Ovis aries: one gene and its partners. The protein of the gene in region 2 interacts with the protein of the main gene of each other region in a biochemical or structural test. Links are inferred from orthologs where the notes say so. Each region holds a gene or a part of one and is shown on either strand. Other genes may lie near its edges.

The links.
Region 1: of the proteins of ATF2 (region 2) and MAPK11, one has a biochemical effect on the other in vitro, tested with the Homo sapiens proteins (4 studies listed by BioGRID and IntAct). The link is inferred for Ovis aries from reciprocal best matches to the Homo sapiens genes ATF2 and MAPK11.
Region 3: the proteins of ATF2 (region 2) and JUN form a complex in vitro, tested with the Homo sapiens proteins (4 studies listed by BioGRID and IntAct, with this or other methods). The link is inferred for Ovis aries from reciprocal best matches to the Homo sapiens genes ATF2 and JUN.
Region 4: of the proteins of ATF2 (region 2) and MAPK9, one has a biochemical effect on the other in vitro, tested with the Homo sapiens proteins (4 studies listed by BioGRID and IntAct, with this or other methods). The link is inferred for Ovis aries from reciprocal best matches to the Homo sapiens genes ATF2 and MAPK9.
Region 5: of the proteins of ATF2 (region 2) and MAPK13, one has a biochemical effect on the other in vitro, tested with the Homo sapiens proteins (2 studies listed by BioGRID and IntAct). The link is inferred for Ovis aries from reciprocal best matches to the Homo sapiens genes ATF2 and MAPK13.

Annotation. Positions count from the first base shown.
Region 1 is NC_056056.1:225,554,462-225,558,551, forward strand, and holds the start of MAPK11 (mitogen-activated protein kinase 11), read right to left. Parts: upstream 2,805-4,090; 5' UTR 1,947-2,804; coding exon 1,537-1,946; intron 866-1,536; coding exon of another isoform or gene 832-865; coding exon 702-831; intron 625-701; coding exon 566-624; intron 461-565; coding exon 349-460; intron 278-348; coding exon 248-277; intron 168-247; coding exon 120-167; intron 41-119; coding exon 1-40. UniProt on the Homo sapiens protein: Serine/threonine kinase which acts as an essential component of the MAP kinase signal transduction pathway.
Region 2 is NC_056055.1:134,980,375-134,983,885, reverse strand, and holds part of ATF2 (cyclic AMP-dependent transcription factor ATF-2), read right to left. Parts: intron 2,269-3,511; coding exon 2,090-2,268; intron 604-2,089; coding exon 489-603; intron 1-488. UniProt on the Homo sapiens protein: Transcriptional activator which regulates the transcription of various genes, including those involved in anti-apoptosis, cell growth, and DNA damage response.
Region 3 is NC_056054.1:33,493,857-33,497,819, forward strand, and holds JUN (transcription factor Jun), read right to left. Parts: upstream 2,808-3,963; 5' UTR 1,888-2,807; coding exon 880-1,887; 3' UTR 114-879; downstream 1-113. UniProt on the Homo sapiens protein: Transcription factor that recognizes and binds to the AP-1 consensus motif 5'-TGA[GC]TCA-3'.
Region 4 is NC_056058.1:713,796-717,759, reverse strand, and holds the start of MAPK9 (mitogen-activated protein kinase 9), read right to left. Parts: upstream 2,804-3,964; 5' UTR 2,560-2,803; intron 1-2,559. UniProt on the Homo sapiens protein: Serine/threonine-protein kinase involved in various processes such as cell proliferation, differentiation, migration, transformation and programmed cell death.
Region 5 is NC_056073.1:10,181,789-10,186,066, reverse strand, and holds the start of MAPK13 (mitogen-activated protein kinase 13), read right to left. Parts: upstream 2,804-4,278; 5' UTR 2,557-2,803; coding exon 2,512-2,556; intron 1,841-2,511; coding exon 1,782-1,840; intron 1-1,781. UniProt on the Homo sapiens protein: Serine/threonine kinase which acts as an essential component of the MAP kinase signal transduction pathway.

The DNA of each region.
Region 1 (4,090 bases), on a different chromosome or scaffold from region 2:
TCTCCTCGTCTGCCTGGCGCGCCAGTCCGAAGTCCAGGATCTACGGCGACCCCCGGCTTCAGCCCCGAGGGTCTCCACCTCCCCGCAGCCGCCTCCCAGCCCCTGCCCCGGGAGCTCACCCGCAGCTCGCAGTCCTCGTTCACGGCCACGTTGCTGGGCTTCAGGTCCTGCGGGGCGGGCGGGCGCGGTGAGAGGCCGGCAGAGTCCCTGGCGCAGGACCACCGCCGCCTCCGCGCACCGCACCTACCCGGTGGATGATCCCGGCCGAGTGGATGTACTGCGAGGGGGAGACGGCGGGGCGTCAGGCGCTGGCCCCCGCGCCGCCTCCCGCTCCCGCTCCGCGCCCACCTTTAGCCCGCGCAGCAGCTGGTACACGAGGAACTGGACGTGCTCGTCACTCAGCGCCTGGCACTTGACGATGTTGTTCAGGTCGGCGCCCATCAGCGTGGTCACCAGGTACCTGGGTGCGGCCGGGAATGAACCCCGCGCCCGCGCGCCGCCCCGCCCGGCCCCCGCCCCGCGCCCCCGCCGCCCCCGCGCCCCCCGCCCCGCCGACGCCGCTCACACTTCGCTGAAATCCTCGAGGGAGGTGGCCGGCGTGAACACGTCCAGCAGCCCGATGACCTGGGGGCGCGGGGAGTCAGAGCTGCGCGGCCCCGCGCGCGGCGCCCCCCGCCCCGCTCGCCCGCCCGCCCGCTCACGTTCTCGTGCTTCAGGTGTTTGAGCAGCCGCAGCTCCCGGTAGGTCCTCCGCGCGTGGATCAGAGACTGGAAGGGCCGCGACAGCTTCTTCACCGCCACCCTCTGGCGCAGCCGTGTGTCGTAGGCTGAGCTGCAAGGCCGCGCGTCAGGCCCTGCCTCGGTCACTGGCCAGAAGGCCACCAGCACAGGCATGAGACCCCACTCGCTCCCAGGCTCTCCCCTCCCTCCTGGGGTCTTCTTTTTTTAAAATATTTGTTTGGCTGTGCTAGGTCCTAGTTGAGGCATGTGGGGTCTAGTCCCCCGACCAGGGCTTGAACTCTGGCCTCCCCGCATTGGAAGGAGGGCATCTTAGCCACTGGACCACCAGGGAAGGCCCCCTCCTGGGGTCTTGCTCCTTCCTCCAGAGGCAGGTCCCCTTCCGCTGACCCCCTGACTTCCGGCCTCCTGAGCCCACCTGAATTTCTCCTGACTCTTGCCTCCAACTCAGGGTGCAAATGCCACCCCAGGGAAACAGCCAGAATCTTGTTGCCAGAGTGGATGTTCCTCCAGCTCCCTGTGGGCCACGGGGGCTGGGAGGCCGCTGAGGGGTCCCAAAGCCACGCCCAAAGCCCCGGAATGTTCAACACGTAGAGGAGAACCTGACCAAAGGCGTGTGTTGCATCCCCGTCTGTGGCAGTGAGAGGCTAGACAGTAGGGATGTCCAGCAGAGGGTGGCGTCCCCAGAGCGCTTCCCCTCCTGCAGCCCCACTCCCCGGAGGCCCAGACCTGCAGCCTCCCTGCCCAGCTGCTCAGTGTGCCCGCTGCCCTCCCGCTCCACCGCTGTCTCAGGATCCACCTTCCCTCCAGCGAGCTGTCCTGTGCAGTCACCCCACCCCTCCACGCCGACGCAGGGAGCCTCCTGCAGCAGGCGGGATGCTCGTGGGCGATGGTGGAGGAAAGCCGCTCTGGGGTGGGAGTCAGGGGGAGTTGCCCCTCACAGGGGAGGTGAGCAGACCCTTTTCTGTCTGCAGGGTCAGCAGAGGACTGTGGGGATTGACACCAGGCCATCAGCCTCATCTGAGGAGGGAGGGAGCCCAGGAGTGACACCTGCCTGGGGGCCCGCTTCCAGCAGGGTCTGTCAGCCCCCTCCAGGGGCCACACACACACACCCTCTCCTGCCACTGAGGCCTTAGGGGGAAGCCAGGGCCCGCTGGCTGGGGCGGCTGGAGTGGCCTGGGGTTCCCGATGACTGGCCAGTGACAGCATGAGGCCTGAGGCCCAGGAGACCCCAAACCCCTTCTCCAGGCTCCAGCGCTGGGCCCTGGGAGTGATCTGAAGAGTCCCACTTGGAACCTTCTGCCGCGTCCTAGAGGAACAACTCTCCCCTGGGGGCCTGCCTGCCTATACCGATGCCCCCACAGACACCTGGCACCTCACCGGTTCTGGACTGGGGGGGCACCCTTCAACATCCACACCCACAACTGGCCTCACTGTCAACACTGAAGCTCCTGCAAGCCCTGACGGGCCCCACCAGGTCCAGAGGCCTCCCCAGGCCCACCCTCCCTCCTGTCTAGGCCCCAGGGTCTCTCTTGGTTGGGGCAAAAATGGGGAGGGGTGTAGACCCCCTAAAGACCGTGGGGGATGGTAGCCTTCTCTGATCAGGCCTGAACCCCATTCGGAGTCTGAGACCCCTTGGACAACGGGGGAGGGGACAGGGCTCACGGAGGAGCTGGAGGTCATTCTTAGGCAGGGATCTTGGCGCCCCACCCCCAAGCAGGGCTCTTCTTTTTCAAGCAAAACTACCCACCCTGGGGCGGGGGTATCTATCGGAGCCCAGGGTTGCCTGACCCTTGACCGGGGAACCCCAGATGCCTGCTCACACATCCAGGGCCACGGAGACCGGCCCTTTCGCCAGCTGTGACGCCGCAGATTCAGACCCGGAGGAGGACTCCCGGGCTGGAGGGGCAGAGGGAGGCCCCTTCCCCGGCCAGGGAGAGGCGCCGGGGAAGCTTCCCTCGCGCCCCCGCCCCACGTTCATTCCTCGGATCCGCGTAAGGCCCGGGGATGGAGGCAGGGCGAGCCCCTCCCCGCGTCGGAACCCCGCACCGGGGGGAGGGGCGCGCGCGGAGACCCCCCCCCCGCCCCAGCCCGCCCCTACCAGACTGAGCCGTAGGCGCCCGAGCCCACCGGGCGCAGCCCCTGCAGCCGCTGCGGCACCTCCCACAGCGTCTTGTTCAGCTCCAGCCGGTAGAAGCCGGCGCGCGGGCCCGACATCTCCGGAGCGGCCGCAGCTCGGCGCGCGCCCCGCCCCGCTCCCGGCGCCCCGCGGAGCCCCAGCCGGCTGCGGGAGGCGGGGCGGGGCGGGGCCAGGGAGGGGGTTCCCGCAGACGGACGCGCGGCTTCCAGCCGGCCCTGGGCGGCGGCTGGGCGGAAAGCGGCCTTCCCGGGGAGGGGAGGGCGGCGGCCGTGGAACGGCTCCTGGCTCCGCCCGCGGCCTCCTCCCGGGGACCGCGCGCCTCCCCCAAGCGCGCCGCGTCCGTCCTCGGCGCGGCACCGCCCGGGCCGGGCCGCTGCCACCTCCCGGGCTCGGCTCCCCGCACCCTCCCGTGCCGGCACCCAGGGCGCCACCCCTGCCCACCTGCCTTCGCCCGCACTCCTCCACCCGCCTGCTCTGAGTCCTGCGTCTCCCCGCTCCAGCCTGCTCGGGGCGGGCACCCCTCCTCTCCCGGCTCCTCATCCGGGCCTTGCACCCCTCCCCTCCCCCAGCGAGCTCCTCCTGGAATGAAGGCAGAATCCTCTAAATCAGAGAAGCCAGGGCGAACCATGGGACATATATATATTTATATTCATATACATATTTTTCAGATAAATATGTAAATGAATATTTACATACCCCCAATAAAAGCTAGGCATTTGGTTGGGTAGGGTCCCTTCCGCGTGGGCCGATGGCGGCGCCTTGGACTCTGGGTCGGCCTCGCTTCCCTTCCCGTTTGGCCATCCGGCCTTGGCCGTGTGGTTCGCTTCCTAGTAAAGCTTCCCCGACCTGGTGAGGCCTTCTGCAGCGGCGGCTCCTGGGCCGGGCTCAGCCGCACCCTGGGGGAAGCGCAACTGCTGGGCCGGCCCGGAGACCCGCCCTCAGGACCAGGGACAGCGGCGGCGCCGGGGGGAATGGGAGGGCTGGACTCAGGAATCTTTCCTCACCTGGGCCCTCTTTGGGGCCTGGTACCCGTCCTCCTGCTGAAGTAGCCCCCTCAGCTGTGACCTCCTCCAGGAAGCCCACTCTGACTTTCCCAGGTACTGCGGGGTCTCGAACTGCGAACTTCCCCCCCCTCCCCCCCGCGCAGGGCATTTCCTCTCTGCCCCTGGAAGGTGCAGTTCGCACCGGCTGCTGCCACTGAAGGGGCTGGGCC
Region 2 (3,511 bases):
AGCCACTGCACCACCAGGGAAGTCCCCTATGTTAATATTTGAATTCTACAAATCTAGCAAATTGAAATGGGTTGAATAAGGAATTAGTTTTTTTTTTTAATTCAACCTTATGTTTATTTTTTTAATTTATTTTTTAATTGAAGGATAATTGCTTTACAGAATTTTGCTGGTTTCTGCCAAACAGCAACATAAATCAGTCATAGGTATACATATGTCCTCTCCCTCTTGAACCTTAGGAATTAGTTCTTAATATTAAAAATAAAAGGAAAACAATTAAGATTTCGAGGATTGAAAAATGTTATTTATCCAGTTATGTTTGCCTCGAAAGATTTATGCTATCACAGTAAATATCAATGAGTAAATATTACTTAACACTAAGTATTTTGTTGAATTCAGTTTCATAAACTAATCAAGCAGCCCCAAGTGTATTTTCTGATTATAAAGATCAGTTTTCTATAAAGAAAATATTAAATAGTCTAAAAACTTACTGGGACTGCAGCTGGAACATGCACATTAGAACTTGTGATTGATGCAGGAATCGCAACAGGCATGGTTTGTCCATTAGGAAGATGTAACAGAAGAGGAAATGGGCCTGGTACAGGACTAAGGAAAACAAAAGAAGGGCAATTAGAAAAAGGAAATCCGTATCAATGATGTCTAAAAAATATAAAAGTATTTTTACTATTATAATTTAAAAATAAATTTTCTGGAGACATCTAAAAAATTAATAAACAAAACAGAAGAGAAACAGAGAACAGACAGGTGGTTGTCAGAGGGAAGGGAATGGAGGGATGAGAGAAATTAAGAGGTACAAACTTCCAGTTGCAAAGTAAATGAGTCACAGGAATGAATTCGCAATGTGAAGAATATAATCATTAACAATGTAATATCATCCCTGTATGGTAACAAAGGTGGTCAGAAGATACTAACTTATAGTTGGAAGACACATAAGTACTAGGGATGTAATGTGTATGTGTGTGGTGTGCTCAGTCATGTCTGACTCTTTGCAACCCCATGGACTACAGCTGCTTGCCAGGCTCCTCTGTCCATGGAATTTTCCAGGCAAGAATCCTGGAGTGGGTTTCCACTTCCTTCTCCAGAGGATCTTCCGGGCCCAAGGATCGAACCAGCATCTCTTATGTCTCCTGCACTGGCAGGTGGGTTCTCTACCACTAGCGCCACTTGGGAAGCCCTAAACGTTCACTGTATATCTCAATAAAACTGGAAGAAAAAAAAAAGAACAAGAGGTCCAGCCCAAGGAAAATGCCCATGTGACAGATACAAACTTGATACCATTTCTTATAAAATGAACAAAATACCCACAAAAAATCATACATGGTGTATATATGCTGCTCAAGTAATTAAACCAACATTTCTGAACCACTGCAAAGCACATTGTAAAATTTAATTAGTTTTAATTGCATCTTAAATGCACAATGTATGCAAGCAGTATAGGAAAAAAGGAAAAAAAATGGGGAAAGCTACGAATTTACTTAGAGAACAAACTGCAATATATTAATTGAGAGAAATTCTTATCAGAAAGCTCTTGAGAGCTCCCTGTAAAAACTGAAAGAAATGTTTTGTGTCAGTCACTCAGTTGAGTCTTACTCTTTGCAACACCATGGACAATAGCCTGCCAGGCTCCACTGTCCATGGGATTCCTCCAGGCAAGAATACTGGAGTGGGTAGCCATTCCCTTCTCCAGGGGATCTTCCTGACCCAGGTCTCCCACATTGCAGGCACATTCTTTACCATCTGAGCCACCAGGGAAGCCCTGAAAGAAATGTTATCTAGTGATAAAGATAATCTTATGTGTTTTGTGTAAAATAGCATGAAAATAAGAGACCATCTTAAAATCACAATCTGCGTTGTCTTTAAAATTAAGCTCTGTATATGTTTTCTAATGTGTTAGAAAACATTCACATTAAAAAAAAAATTACCCAAGCATTTTTTCCAAAAATAAAAGCATGCAAAAATGATTAACACACAAAACTAATGCCACAATTAGAATAATTAAATGTCTTAGGAAAACCATGAAAACAAAAACTTAACAATTCAGAAAATTCAATGACTGGCCCAAATCACTTACACAATTGGCCTGTTGGAGGACGGTGCCTGGGTGATTACAGTACTTGACGTTGGTGAAGGTACTGCCTGCTGAATAATGACACTTGAGTCAGAACTTGTAAGCAGCACATTGGGAACTTGTAAAGATGCTGGACGAACGATAGCTGATGTAGGCTGTGCAGTTTGTGCCAATGGTACTTCCTATTTAATAATGAGATGGAGAAACAATGAAATTTAAAAATCCAAGTCAATTCATGTACCTTAATGAATAGAATGACATGTCTTAAAAAAACCCCACAAACTCAGTACTAAGTATCACCCCAAAATATATTAATATTTATTTAAAGTTAATTATGAGAAAATTGTTTCAAATGCAGTGTTAATATTTTAATTTAAAAAACATCTGAGTGGTTTTTTTCAGTACAACTTGTTTTACCATCAATCTAGAAATAACTTAGGCTGGGCAACTTGGTTATATAACTCCATGAGAATTCTAGTAAAAAATAAAACTACAATTCCATTCTCATGGAAGTACAGAACTTAAAATCCAGATGGGACTTCCTTGTCCTACTCCATCATTATATTGTATAAAGAAGAAGTAGGTCCAGGAGACTCTTTTATAGTTGATATCAATTCAATAATAAAAATGTTAAAATTTTTTTTTAAGTAATACAAATGTTTGCCAATTTCAGATAACTATCTCTACATTACCAATAATTTCTCAGTATCAAAAGGTGAAGTAATATTAATACCTTGAATGTAAAACTAAACTATTGTAGTAAGATCTTTCCAAAGTAAAGAAAAACACGGAACCTTATAGATGGTCTTTTCCCCAATTTACAGATTAGAAAACAGATTATCCAGAACTCCATAACTAGTATAAAAATTGGTCCACCATGTTCCTTGAATTTGCCTTTATACTGCCATTTATTCTCACAATTTTATTAAGCTACACAGGAAGAAAAATAAACTAGTACTATTGGAATTTCGTTTACTTGACAAGTTTGAGAAATTACAACATGCCCTGAAGGACTAGGAGGAAAAGAGACAGTAAACAAGTAAAACAAACCAGAAAATTTTGGACAGTAATGTCTTACAGACTAACAGTATAACATAATATCAATAAATCATGAGAGATTAACTGAGGGAAAGTTGGAGTTGGCTACTTTAGATAGCATAGTGAGGTAAAGTGAGCTTCTTTGAAAAATGGCATTTGAACTGGTACTGAAAAGATGAGGAGCGCATTCTAGGGAGAAGGAAGCAATACCAAGAGCAATGTCTTTGAGGGAGGGAAAAGCTTAGAATATCTGATGAACACTTTCATAGGAAAGGAATGAGGTGAGGTTGGATAAGAATACAAGTCTAAATCAATGATGGCTTACGGAGAAGTGTGAATTACCTTAAATGCAAAGGCAAACCACTGAAGGATTTTAAGCACGGAAGT
Region 3 (3,963 bases), on a different chromosome or scaffold from region 2:
TCAGGGCCTGCTAGTAAGAAGCACCCACAGTGATTTTAATTGACACTCAACTCTTTCAACTCCACCTAGACAAGTAATCTATAGATAATGCAGAAAAGAGGTTGGGGGAGGGGTAACTTTTTCAATATTTTATTGTATTTTCTTAAATATCCTTTCTGGAATTTTCAGAAACAAAACATAAAAAAAATTATATACTTTATTACAAATGGTAAACTCAGAGTGCTCCAAATCTCTTATTTACAAACAAGGCTGGGCAGGACACCCAAACAAACAAACATGAATAACTTACAAAGGCATGAAGCTGTTTATTGACAGTAATCAGCTTTCATCAAATTAAAAAATATATATATGTACATACACAGTTATGGAAGGCAGGCCAGAAAGAGCTCATCTGCAGGCTGGGCCTCGCTCTCACAAACCTCCCTCCCGCCTCCCCTCCCCCACCCCCTTTGTGTTCTTAAGGAGTACTACAGAAGCGATCTACAGTCTCTATTGCAGTTTGCAACCCCCTCCCCCACCCCACCCCTTTAATACTGAATGAGATCGAATGTTAGGTCCATGCAGTTCTTGGTCAACGTTAAAGAAAAGTCTAACGTTCTGTTTGCGCGGGGACAGCCCGTCCGCAAACCCGGGCAGCCCGCGAGCGGCCGTTCCCTGGCTCCTCGCCAAGGGAGGGCGCGCCAAGTCCTTCCCACTCGTGCACACTGGGGGCGCCGTCAGGACGCAACCCAGTCCAACTTGGATACCCTTGGCTTTAGTCCTCGGACACTTTTGTTTTTTTCTCTGTTTCTCTCTCGCAACTTGTCAAGTTCTCAAATCTGTCTCTCTGTGTTATTTATATTTTTTCTCCGTTGCCCCTCAGCCCCCGACAGTCTCGCCTCAAAACGTTTGCAACTGCTGCGTTAGCATGAGTTGGCACCCGCTGTTAACGTGGTTCATGACTTTTTGTTTAAGCTGGGCCACCTGTTCCCTGAGCATATTGGCGGTGGACGCCAGCTCCGAGTTCTGCGCTTTCAAGGTTTTCACTTTTTCCTCCAGCCGCGCGATCCTCTCCAGCTTCCTTTTCCGGCACTTGGAAGCAGCGATGCGGTTCCTCATGCGCTTCCTCTCCGCCTTGATCCGCTCCTGGGACTCCATGTCGATGGGGGACAGGGGCGGCGTTTCCCCGGGCATCTCGGGCACCGTCTGCGGCTCTTCCTTCAGGGCCTGCAGCCGCGGGTGCTGCACGGGTATCTGCTGGGGCAGGTGGTGCGGCGGCTGCGGTGGTTGCTGCTGCTGCTGCTGGGGCTGCGCGGGAAAGGCCAGGCCAGCCGCGCCGTAGGAGGGCGCCCCGCCGCCGCTGCTCAGCGCGCCGGGGTTGAAGTTGCTGAGGTTGGCGTAGACCGGCGGCTCGCTGTGCAGGCTGGCGCTGAAGCCGCCGCTGCCGCTGCCGCCCGCCACCGAGGCCACCGCCGGGGCCACCAGGCCCGCCCCGCTGACCGGCTGCGCCGCCGACGTGACGCTGGGCAGCGTGTTCTGGCTGTGCAGTTCGGCCAGGGCGCGCACGAAGCCCTCGGCGAATCCCTCCTGCTCGTCCGTCACGTTCTTGGGGCACAGGAACTGGGTGGGGGTCGGCGTGGTGGTGATATGCCCGTTGCTGGACTGTATGATCAGGCGCTCCAGCTCGGGCGACGCCAGCTTGAGCAGCCCAACGTCGGGCGAGGTGAGGAGGTCGGAGTTCTTGGCCCGGAGGTGCGGCTTCAGGCTGCCCACCGGGTCGGCCAGATTCAGGGTCATGCTCTGCTTCAGAATCTTGGGGTTACTGTAGCCGTAGGCGCCGCTCTCAGACTGGAGGAACGAGGCGTTGAGGGCATCGTCGTAGAAGGTCGTTTCCATCTTTGCAGTCATAGAACAGTCCGTCACTTCGCGTGGGCTTAGTTTAAGCTGCGCGCAGAAGTTTCGGGGCCGCAACAGCGCGCTGGCAAGCGGGGGACACCCGCGCCTCCCCGGGCAGTGAGCAAGGAAAGTTTCTGGAAGAGCGCGCGCCCCCGCCGGCTGGCAGCCCCCGCCCCCGGCGCCCTCCTCACCAGCTCGGTCCGGGGGATCGCAGGGTTAAGACGCCGCCCGCGCTCTTACTTGTCCGCTCGCGCGCGCCGCCCGGCTTTGAAAAGTCGCGGTCACTCACGGAGCTCTCTCGAGCGCAGCGGTTCCTCAGAGCCCGCGGACGAACTCGCTTCCCGGTGATAGCAGGGAGCGCGGACCCCGCGTTTGCCTGCCGGCGGCGGGTGTCCGCCGCCCCGACTCGGAAGACTGTCCCCTCCTCCGCTGAGAGGGGGAGGGGGCGCCCGGCAGCCGCGGCTCGCGCTCGCCCAAGTTCAGCAACCGGTGCGAGCGAAGCGGAGCGCACGTCCTCCTCTCTCCGCCGCCTCTTTTTCTTCACCGCCGCCGCGGCAGCTTCGGGCGGAGGCAAGATTTGCAAAAGTTCGTTCCGGGACCCGGCGGCCACTTGTCTCCTGTCTTCCTGGCCGGGAAAGTTCTTGCCGCTGCAGCCGCTCTCCGGACTTCCCCGGGCGGACAGTGGCCGCTCTCCGCGCTGTCAGCAGCGCCCGCGCAGCGGGGCTCTCCGCCTGGGGGCGGCTGGCGAAGGGGCTCTCCCGGCGCTCCCCAAAACACCAGGCCGGGAGCCACAAGCGCTAGCTCCGGGCAGTTGGAGAGAAATTGGAAAATAGGATTTGCTGTCCTTCTCGACTGACTGTGCCTGTCTGCCTGCCTGCGTCCGCGCACCTCCACTCCCGCCTCGCAGCTTCAGCCACACTCAGTGCAACTCTGAGCCCTTATCCAGCCGGAGCGCAACACTTATCTGCTACCAGTCAACCCCTAAAAATAGCCCATGATGTCACCCCAAGGCCTTCCCATTGGCTCGCGTCGCTCTCAGGGGGGCGGGCCCACCCGTCGCCATGGAGACCCCACCCTAGAAGATTCTTCTCTGGGCCCGCGGAGGCTCACGGGATGAGGTAATGCTCCGTTGCCCTCCTACAGTTGGGCCCTTCTTTCTCCTCCTCCCCCCAACCCGCTCCGCGCGACTCGCGCCCCTCTCTTCCCCCTCCCTCCCCGACGCGTCTTTCCCGGCCCGCCCGGTGCATTGTGGGCTGACGTCTTGGGGTTTGACTGTCTAGTGACGGTGGCTGCCGCGAGCCGGGCGGACTCCGGCGCTCCCAGCCTCTGAGGGAAGTGGGCTGAAGTTTAGGGCTCGGATGGGAATGCCAGGGATGCTAGGACCCAGGAGGCCAGGGGAACCGAGCCAGGTGTCTGGGGCCGAGGGCGCGGGGCGGGTGGTATTTCCCCACTTGGGGGTTCGATGTCACCCGCGGGCACTTCGCCGCCGCTCGGGGCGGGCCGGGCCCGTTGAGCGCCTGGGTTCCTGGCCCCCCCGCACTTCCGGGGGGCGGGAGCACCGCCCTTAAGGTGGCTCTGTTAAGTCCCCTGTGGGGGCGAGTGAAAGTGGCTTTTAAATTTGGGGGCAGTTCGTGAGAGTCGGCCCCCCACGTTGAGAATGCCCTGAAGTTTGTCTCCTGGTCAAGTTCAGTAGCGACTGTCTGGCTCTGTCTGGAAGTCCAGTGATTTGCATTGCTTGAAACTGGGTGTTCGGCTAAGTCCCCTCCGCACTCCCACCTCACCCTCCCGACCGTGGGAGAAAGGGTGCGGGGGTTCGCATCTTTGCCTCGGAAAGGTTTCTTACAGGAGGTGGATTTAAGGGGCAACTCGGCGTCTAGTTTGAACGAGCGTTTGGAGAATCCGAAACTCGGGGAACCCCGGTGATAGTCTACTCTCCGCCCCCGCACAACATGCATAGACACACCGCACATCACATGTACACACAAACACACACACACGCACACGCCACTCCTCCCGCCCCGATTTGCTTCCGGGAAAACAAGTCCGAGAGCAGCAGACACTTGCCAAAAGTCACGCAGCGAGTGAGTA
Region 4 (3,964 bases), on a different chromosome or scaffold from region 2:
GAGGTGTACCTTCTAACATTTATTTAGGAAGGCCAAATAAACACATTTTAATCTGTCAACAAATTATTTAAAGTGGCATCCTGAAAAGTTAAGTTCTCAGGAGTGGATTCTCCTCAAGAAACTCAGGAAAAGAACGCTCTTCAGCGACAGACTATGCCAAAATAGGATTGTTTTTAACCCTGTAGGATCCTCTTGAAGGGGAAAAAAAGGGATAAATGAAGGGAAACGATATCTAGATTGGATTTTATTCTTCCAGAACAAACTAAGAGCCAAAGAGAATACTCAGAGCTAAGGGACTCAGGAAAGAATGCTGATCTGCGGGAGACCTGGGTTCAAATTTCACTTTCCAGCTGCTTGCTACAAAACAGACTGCCGAAACCCTGGGAGCCTCTGCTTCCTCCTGTGTAGAAAGTGGAGGCTAGCAGGCTTCCTAGCTGCTATCGCAGGGCTCCAGTGCCAAAAGAGAGTTCCTGGACAAACAGGGCCGAGCTGCCCTAGTCGTGGGCTACCCTTCTAGCTCACTGCAACTCTTCCCTCCTAAACAACCTGCCTTGAAGTCCGGAGTCCGACAATCCTGAAATAAAACTGAATGAGGTCTGCATTTTGCTTGGCTCACAGCACTGAAAACATTTTAAAATAAGCTACTGCCAACAATTGAACATGAAGAGAGTGCAGATACAAATCTCAAGTTCTGGCTTCTTTCTAAAAATTGCTGGGTAAGTGGTGTCTGGTTCTCCAGGGTCTCCACTACTCTAATCTCTCACACCTGGCCCCACAGGCTGGTTTTTGACCCCAACATTGGGCTGAATATTGGAGAAGGGGATGACAGAGGACGAGATGGTTGGATGGCATCACCGACTTGATGAACATGAGTTCAAGCAAGCCCTGGGAGTTGGTGATGGACAAGGAAGCCTGGTGTGCTGCAGTCCATGGGGTCCCAAACAGCGACATGATTGAGCGAGTGAACTCAACTGATTGGGCTGAAGTTCTTCCTTCACCCTGCCCTTCCCCACGTCTTGTCTTCCCCTAGACCTGACAAGTTTCTCATCACCATTCAAGCCAACTCCAGCACCAGCCAAGCACCACCGCCTCCTCCAAGTTTCCACAGCACAGCCCTGCTATACAGCAAGCTGTCCGAGCACTGTCTGCATGTCTCCTTTCTCTACTGGGCTCTTGGGCTCTCTGGAGGAAGGGACCCTGTTGCTACTGCCTTTGTGTCCCCAGGGCCGAGCAGAAAGCTGACCTGGATAATGTAGAATTCAGTCAATATGTCCTGAATGCGAGGAAGGAAGTTAGAGCGAAAACATTATAAAAATGTCAGATTTTATATTACAGCTTGTTCTGATAGTTACCAAATAAAAGGGTCAAGGACATTAAAATGTTCCACAAAACTAAAGCAACCTATCATCTGCATGTAAGTTTCACAAGTTAGTCAGAAGTCACTAAACAGAGAAAGCAGAGGCAACAGGCTGGCAGGGTCATTCATTCACTCACTTACTCACTTAACTGATATTACTGAATACTTACTGTGTGCTTTCTAAGCACTGGGGATAAAGCAGTGGACAAATCAGACAACTACCTGTTTTCAGAAAGCTATAATCCTAATGGGAGAGACAGAAAATAAACAGGCGAATCAACAGAATAGTTTCAAACCAGATACTGGGAAGAAAATTAATGTAATGAGACAGAAAGACTAAAGGAGGAGAAAGAGAGGTCAAGGAAAGGATTCTGTAAATTGGAACATGTGAGAAGGACCAGAAGGAGTCAGCTGTGCAAAGATCCGGGAGGCAACTCCAATCACTGGATACAAGTGCAAAGGTCCTGAGGTAAACAGGGCTGAATGTTCAAGGCCAGTAAGATGGGTAGGTTAGGAGACCACTGCTCCGGGTTGGGGGACTTGTTGGGGGTGAGCTGGTCAGGGCCCGCTCAGGCACTGCTGGGCACTGAGTATGCAATGACAAGGCACTTGGGGAGCATGAGGATGGGGGACTCTGGGCGGACTCTGCTACACTCAAGCCAGCAAGGAGCAGTATCCCGCTCATTTTCCACAAGTGTGCACCGGGCGGGCTCCCGCCCAGGGGCTTTCACACACATTCATAGAGCTTGACAACAATCCTGTCCAAAAGGGTAGACATTTCCCCCACTTTGCCGAGGGGAAAACAGAGGAACAGCAAGGATCAGTGCCTTCGCCAAGGTCGCAGGAATCAGATCCCAGGCTCTGAGCATCCGGGAGGAGGTATGCAGCTGGGTGCCAAACAATCGGGGCGGGGGAGGGGGCGCCCACAGACCCTACAGCAGGTCTGCCGGGGCCAGAGCAGGGAGCGAGCCCGCAGCTCTGGGGCGCGGACAGCCGGGCGTAAGGGGGTGACTGCGGCAGCCTGGAGGAAGAGGGGCTGCGGCCGGGGTCGCCAGCACCCCGCAGACCCCACAGAACCCGGTCCTCCCGCTCCGCACCCCCCTGTCCCCGCGGAGCCTGGCCTCGCGGCCTTCCCGCCGCCCCTCCCCGGCGAGGCTCGGTCCCAGAGTCCCCGCTGGGCCTAACCCGCCGGCCGGGCTCACCTCGCCTCCCCGCCGCCGCGCCAGAGGGAGAGGGCAGGCGGGCGGACTGGCGGCGCAGCGCGCTAGCTGCTCGCGGCTCCGCTGCCCCGGGCTCGCCTGGCCGCCCCGCCCCGCTCTGCTCCGCTCCGCCCCGCCGCCGCCGTCGCCGCCGCCGCAAAGGCTGTGAGGGGCGCCGGGGCGCCTAGGACCCTTCCGGTCTGGATTGCTTCTCCTCCGCTGCAGCCGCCGCCGCGGCGCCCGGTCTGACCGACCCGCGCGCCGGCCAATCAGCGCGCGGAGAGCTGGGCGGGCGCGGCCAATCGCGCGCGCGCGGGGCTGGGGCTACTGCCGGGCGGCTCCGGAGGGGAGGCGGGCCGAGCCCGGCGCTGGTTGACCAGGTCTTCGGGGAGCGGCGCTTGGCGGCCGCGCAGCTGATCGCTCCGCTTCCTTATGACGCAGGCCGGGCTCGGCGCGCCGACTGCGCTTTACCGGTGCCCGCGGCGCGGCAGCCGAGCACCGCGCTGGGAGGCGATGGAAAGGGGTACTGACGGGACCGAAAGCCGGGCCTCTGGGCTTGCAGGTGCAGACTGACAGCGGCGAGTCGGCCTGGAGGAAGGCGGAGAAGGTCCATGAGGGGAGGGCCAGGGCGAGGGGAAGCCGCGGCCTTGGCGTCCAGGACTGGGAGGCGGAGGCGGCGAGGACGTGGAGACGAGGGGAATGGACCTTGGATTCCTTTGCTCACTGTGAAGCAGTTTCAGGGTTGCTGCCAGAAGCAATGGCAACCCACTCCATCACTCTTGCCTGGAAAATCCCATGGACGGAGGAGCCTGGAAAGCTGCAGTCCATGGGGTCGCGAAGAGTCGGACTCGACTGAGCGACTTCACTTTCACTTTTCACTTTCATGCATTGGAGAAGGAAATGGCAACCCACTCCAGTGTTCTTGTCTGGAGAATCCCAGGGACGGGGGAGCCTGGTGGGCTGCCGTCTGTGGGGTCGCACAGAGTCGGACACGACTGAAGCGACTTAGCAGCAGCAGCAGCAGCAGCCAGAAGCCGAGGAGGGACATGGGAGGAGATGGCCATGTGCAGGCCTCTGGCCCTGGCAGGTCAGTGACAGAGGGGAGAAGACTGGCTGGTGAGCCTGGAGCAGAGTTCAAGCCACTTGAACAAAAATTGCCACCATCAAGGATTATGGGAAACTCAGGAGGTCTGGCTGTCAGAGCTGTGGTTTTACAAAGGAGCATTCATTCCTGGGTCTTCTCAGAAGAGAATGGCAGAGTCATACATGGAGGGAAGGGAGTGCAATGCTGAGGGCCCCTAGGACCTGTGATTTGTTGGCAGTGACCTTCTTCAGAGGTGTCTCCCCCAGCTAGCCTCTGGATCTGGTTCCAGCAGGTCTGAAGGTGTGAAATGATGGGAGAGTTGTC
Region 5 (4,278 bases), on a different chromosome or scaffold from region 2:
TCTTTTCCGCTTACAAGCTCACTGACGTCCTGCGGTGCCACAACCACCCTCCCTTAACCTTATTTCTTCGCGTACCCCACTCCTTCTCTCTCTTTCCCTCCTGATCAAACTTCTAGAAAGAGTGGTCCTCACCTGTCCACCCCACTGCCTTAATGCACAGTTCCCTGACAACAGGGTGTCTGTTCCTGCCCCACCAGCCCAGAGCACACACCCACGACTCCCTTTCTTTCTACTGGAACTTGTGCAAAGCTTGACACCCCCTCAAGATTTTCTGCGAATCCTACCTCTGGGCAGGCGGCCTCAGCTCTCTGCCTGCACATTCTCGTGTAGCTTCTCTTTCATGTTGGTATCTTAACCCACAGCATCGCAGCAGGCTCTACACTGGCCTGTCCCTGGGCTTCGGCTCTCATCCACCAGTGATTATTCAGGCCCAAATCCACATCCCTGGCTCAGACCTTCCTAAACTCTGGGTTTATTTGCTGATTAAACACTTGAATGTTCATAGGCTTTTCAAAACTGAAGTGTCCAAAGTGGAGTTCATTATCTTTCTCCTAAGATGTGTTCTTCCTTCACCTGGTATTCCGAGTAGGAACCTGGCATCCCTGGCTCTCCTCACCACTGCCTCCCAAGGGATACAACACTCTGACAGTGCTGCCTCTCGATGGGGCTCAAGTCAGCTCTTGGGACCCTGTCACCTTGACTGCATTTAGACCAAGGTCTAGTTCTCCCAGAGCTGTGTCCCTGGTCCTTTCTTGCTGCTGCCAGAGTGCATCCCCCAAATCCGATCTGACCACCTCACCTCGCTGCTCAAAACCTCTATAGCCTTGAGGCTGCCTGTGGAATCAAGTCTGGACTCAGCCGAACTAAATCAGCCACTGCTTCACTGCACATCTCAGGATGGCCCAGCCTCTTTCACACGTGCTTCATGGCCTTGGTCCACGCAGTTCCTTCTCCTTGGGATGCCTTCAGCCCTTCAACCTCAGGCAAACACTGACTCATCCTTCAGAGCTGAGTTCAGAGTTACCTCCTCTGTGAAGCCCGCTGAGGCAGCTGGCAGTTCCCGGCTCTACCCAGACTTAGAGCACTGACCATCACTGTCAGTATTCACCACTGTCCGTCCTGGAGGAGCTGGTCCACTTTAAATTCCCAATGCTAAGCCCAGCAGCCGGCATTGTAGGGGGGAAAATCCATTCAAACTCACTGCATTAAACTGAAAACAAAAGCATCCTAATAAAGAGAACTGCGGCTACAGTTGAAATAGGACTGGAAAAAAAAATCCACCCTCTCAAAGTTTCCTAAATTTTAGCAGGTACTGCACTAGCAAAGCTGTGCATTTAGCAACTAAATTTTCGTGTTCTGTGTAATTCTGAGAAACATCCCCATTGGCTGGGGCAGCCAAGGCTTTGTGATCCTCGCTCCATTCTAGGAAGAGTCCTGAAGTCCAGACCCACACCTGCACCAGGACATGGTGAGGGAGGCTGATGCAAACCGTGTGGGGACTGGCGGCGATGTCTCCGTGGTGTTGAGGGTGGGTAAAGCAAAGCAGATGAGCAGACAGCTCTGTGTCAGCCAGGCTCCGTAAAAAGCCCTTCCCACCTTTTCAGGCCAGCCGTTCTCTCCACCCTGGGCTGGATCTCTCCCCAGCCCAAAGGCATACAGCCTCCTGGGACAGAAGAGAGAACCTGGACCCTCCCCTTACTTGCCCGCGCCGCCCCTCCCACCCCGCCCCAGTGGCAAGTAAGGTCTGCAAATATCCCGGAACCCGGCACAGCCCGACTCACAAGTCATGGAAGTTGCGCAGGGAGGAGGCTGGGGTGAAGACATCCAGGAGCCCAATGACCTAAAGAGAAGATGGCCAGTGAGGGCCAGGCAGCCGCCGCACCCTGCATTTGTCCTCTGAGTCCCCAGGCCTGCACAGGACCACCTGCCCTTTCCTAGAACAGCACCTCCAGCAGGAGGCAGGTTCCCAGCCTTCTGGGAAGAAGCAGTTAAAGGGGCAGAGATGGGAGAGGGATTCCTCCACCTGGGCAGGAATTTGCAGTGCACTGTGATGGAGAGTCAGGCTGGGATAAGAGATGGTGGACGTGTCTGTGCTCACTGACCCCAAGTCTGGGGTCAGGACGAACAGCACACCCAGTCTCCGCTCAGGCCGGGAACCTTGAGTGGGGAAGGGAATCGAGGAGGGGACAGAGAAGGGATCTTCCAGCCAGCAGGCTCCCTGTCCTTGACCTTGGGTCTCACCACATCTAACGCTGCCTGCCAAAGGGCTGATTCAGAGCTGGGGCAAGACTTCCCAGCTGGAGGCCATGGGGAGGAGCTGCCCGAGGAGGAATGGGACTTAAAATATGCACAGTGTTTTGAACTCATTGTTTTAAATGCTTGGGTTTCCCTGGGTGGTTTAGCAGTAAAGAATCCACCTGCAATGCAGGAGCCGCAAGAGATGTGGGTTTGATCCCTGGGTCAGGAGGATCCCCTGGAGGAGGAAATGGCAACCTACTCCAGTGTTCTTGCCTGGAGAATCCCATGGGCAGAGGAGTCTGGCGGGCCACAGTCCATGGGGTCGCAGAGTCGGACACAATGGAAGCGACTTAGCACATTTTTAAAAACGCTTGTCTGCCAATACAGGTATCCTGCAGCAAAGCCTAGGGGCCAGGCTCAGCACTGGGTCACTAGTTTCCTGGCTGTTTCAATTAGACAGGACAGTCTCAAGGTCGGGCTCTGGGGCCTGGAGCCAGGTTGTCTAGGGTCAGATCCCAGCTCTGCCACTGACTAACCATATAATCTGTCTGTCCACGGCCATACCACCCTGAACGTGCCTGATCTCGTCTGATAACCTGTAAGTCTTTCTGTGCCTCAGTTTCCCTGTCTGTATAAGGGAGTAATGATACTTATATGATACTGTGAGGATTAAACATTCTAGTTTCTGCAAAGTTCTTAGAGCTGTGCCTGGCACATAAGTGCTCACAGGTTTCTATTATCCTTGTTGTAATTATGTGGAAACAACATTAACCAGGATACTGGGCACCAGGTCTCAGATCTAGAACAACTACGGAGTTCCTCGGTGCCCATTTCCTCATAACAGTGAGACACCAAGTTCATTCAGCTCCACTGCCAAAAATTCCTTTGCACCTTACCTGGGAAGTAGGCGGGGTGGGTCCTGGCACATAGTTTTAATAATCAGGTGAGGAACAAGGATCCAGAGGAGCAGGGAGGAGGTTCCCTTTCTGCTGGCGCTGTTGGGTCAGCATCTTGGGGTATCTTCCGTGTGTGCGCGTGCGCGTGTGCACACACACGGAGGGGCTGGTCAGGACCCTCTCTGGGGCTGCCCTCCCGTCCCTGCCTCCCCGAAGCAGCCCCCGGGCCCAGCCTACGTTCTCATGCTGCATGTGTTTCAGCAGCAGCAGCTCCCGATAAGCCCGCTTGGCAAAGATCTCGGACTGGAAGGGCCGGCTCAGCTTCTTGATGGCCACCTTTTCCCCTGACCGCTTGTCGATGGCTGAGCTGTAGGGTCAAAGGCAGGTCAGCAGGGAGCACGCCCCCCCACCCCCGGCCCCAGCCCGGAGGCAGGCAGGGCTCCAGACCCTGGGTGGCATCTGCCAGGCCATCTGGGGAGCCACGGCCATCCTCACCCCAATCCCTCTGGGCCAGCAGCCTAAGCTGGGAGGAGCTGATGCCCACCACCGGGAATGTGAGTTGCTGAAAGCACAGTGGGACTGGGGGAGCGAGGAGGGAGCAGGCAGGATCTGAGAGAGGTGCCCTGCACCAGGGTCAAACACAAGTTAATATCAACAGGATCCCAAACAACTTGGCAAGTCACTTCTTGTTTGCCTCTCTGTGTACCCATGTGTATTAAATAACAATCAATCGGGATTCGGCGAGATGAACTCTGGGGTCCCTTGTAAGTCCTGGAGAAACAGATTCAGTCCTAATTCAACCCACAGAGACCCCCCAGCAAGCAGGTGCGAAAAGCGAACTGGCGCCTGGGGCGACCCCATGGCCAGCCTCCACAGCCCGAGGCTGCTGCTCCACTTCGAGGTCCAGTTGCTGCCTCCTCCAGTCCCAGGGCTCAGCCTGGCAAAAGCACCCGCAAAAGTCTTCCCAACCCGCAGGACTCTGGGCCTCGGGGTCCTTGATCAAAGGTGGTGGGGGCACAGCTCCGCGCGCCCAGCAGGTGAGGGCCCCCGGATGCGGATCCGGGAAGCAGATCCGGGGTGAGGGTGGGCACTGGTCTGGCTCTGGCTCTGGCGGAGGCCCCGCCCGCGTCCCGGTGCCTGGGCG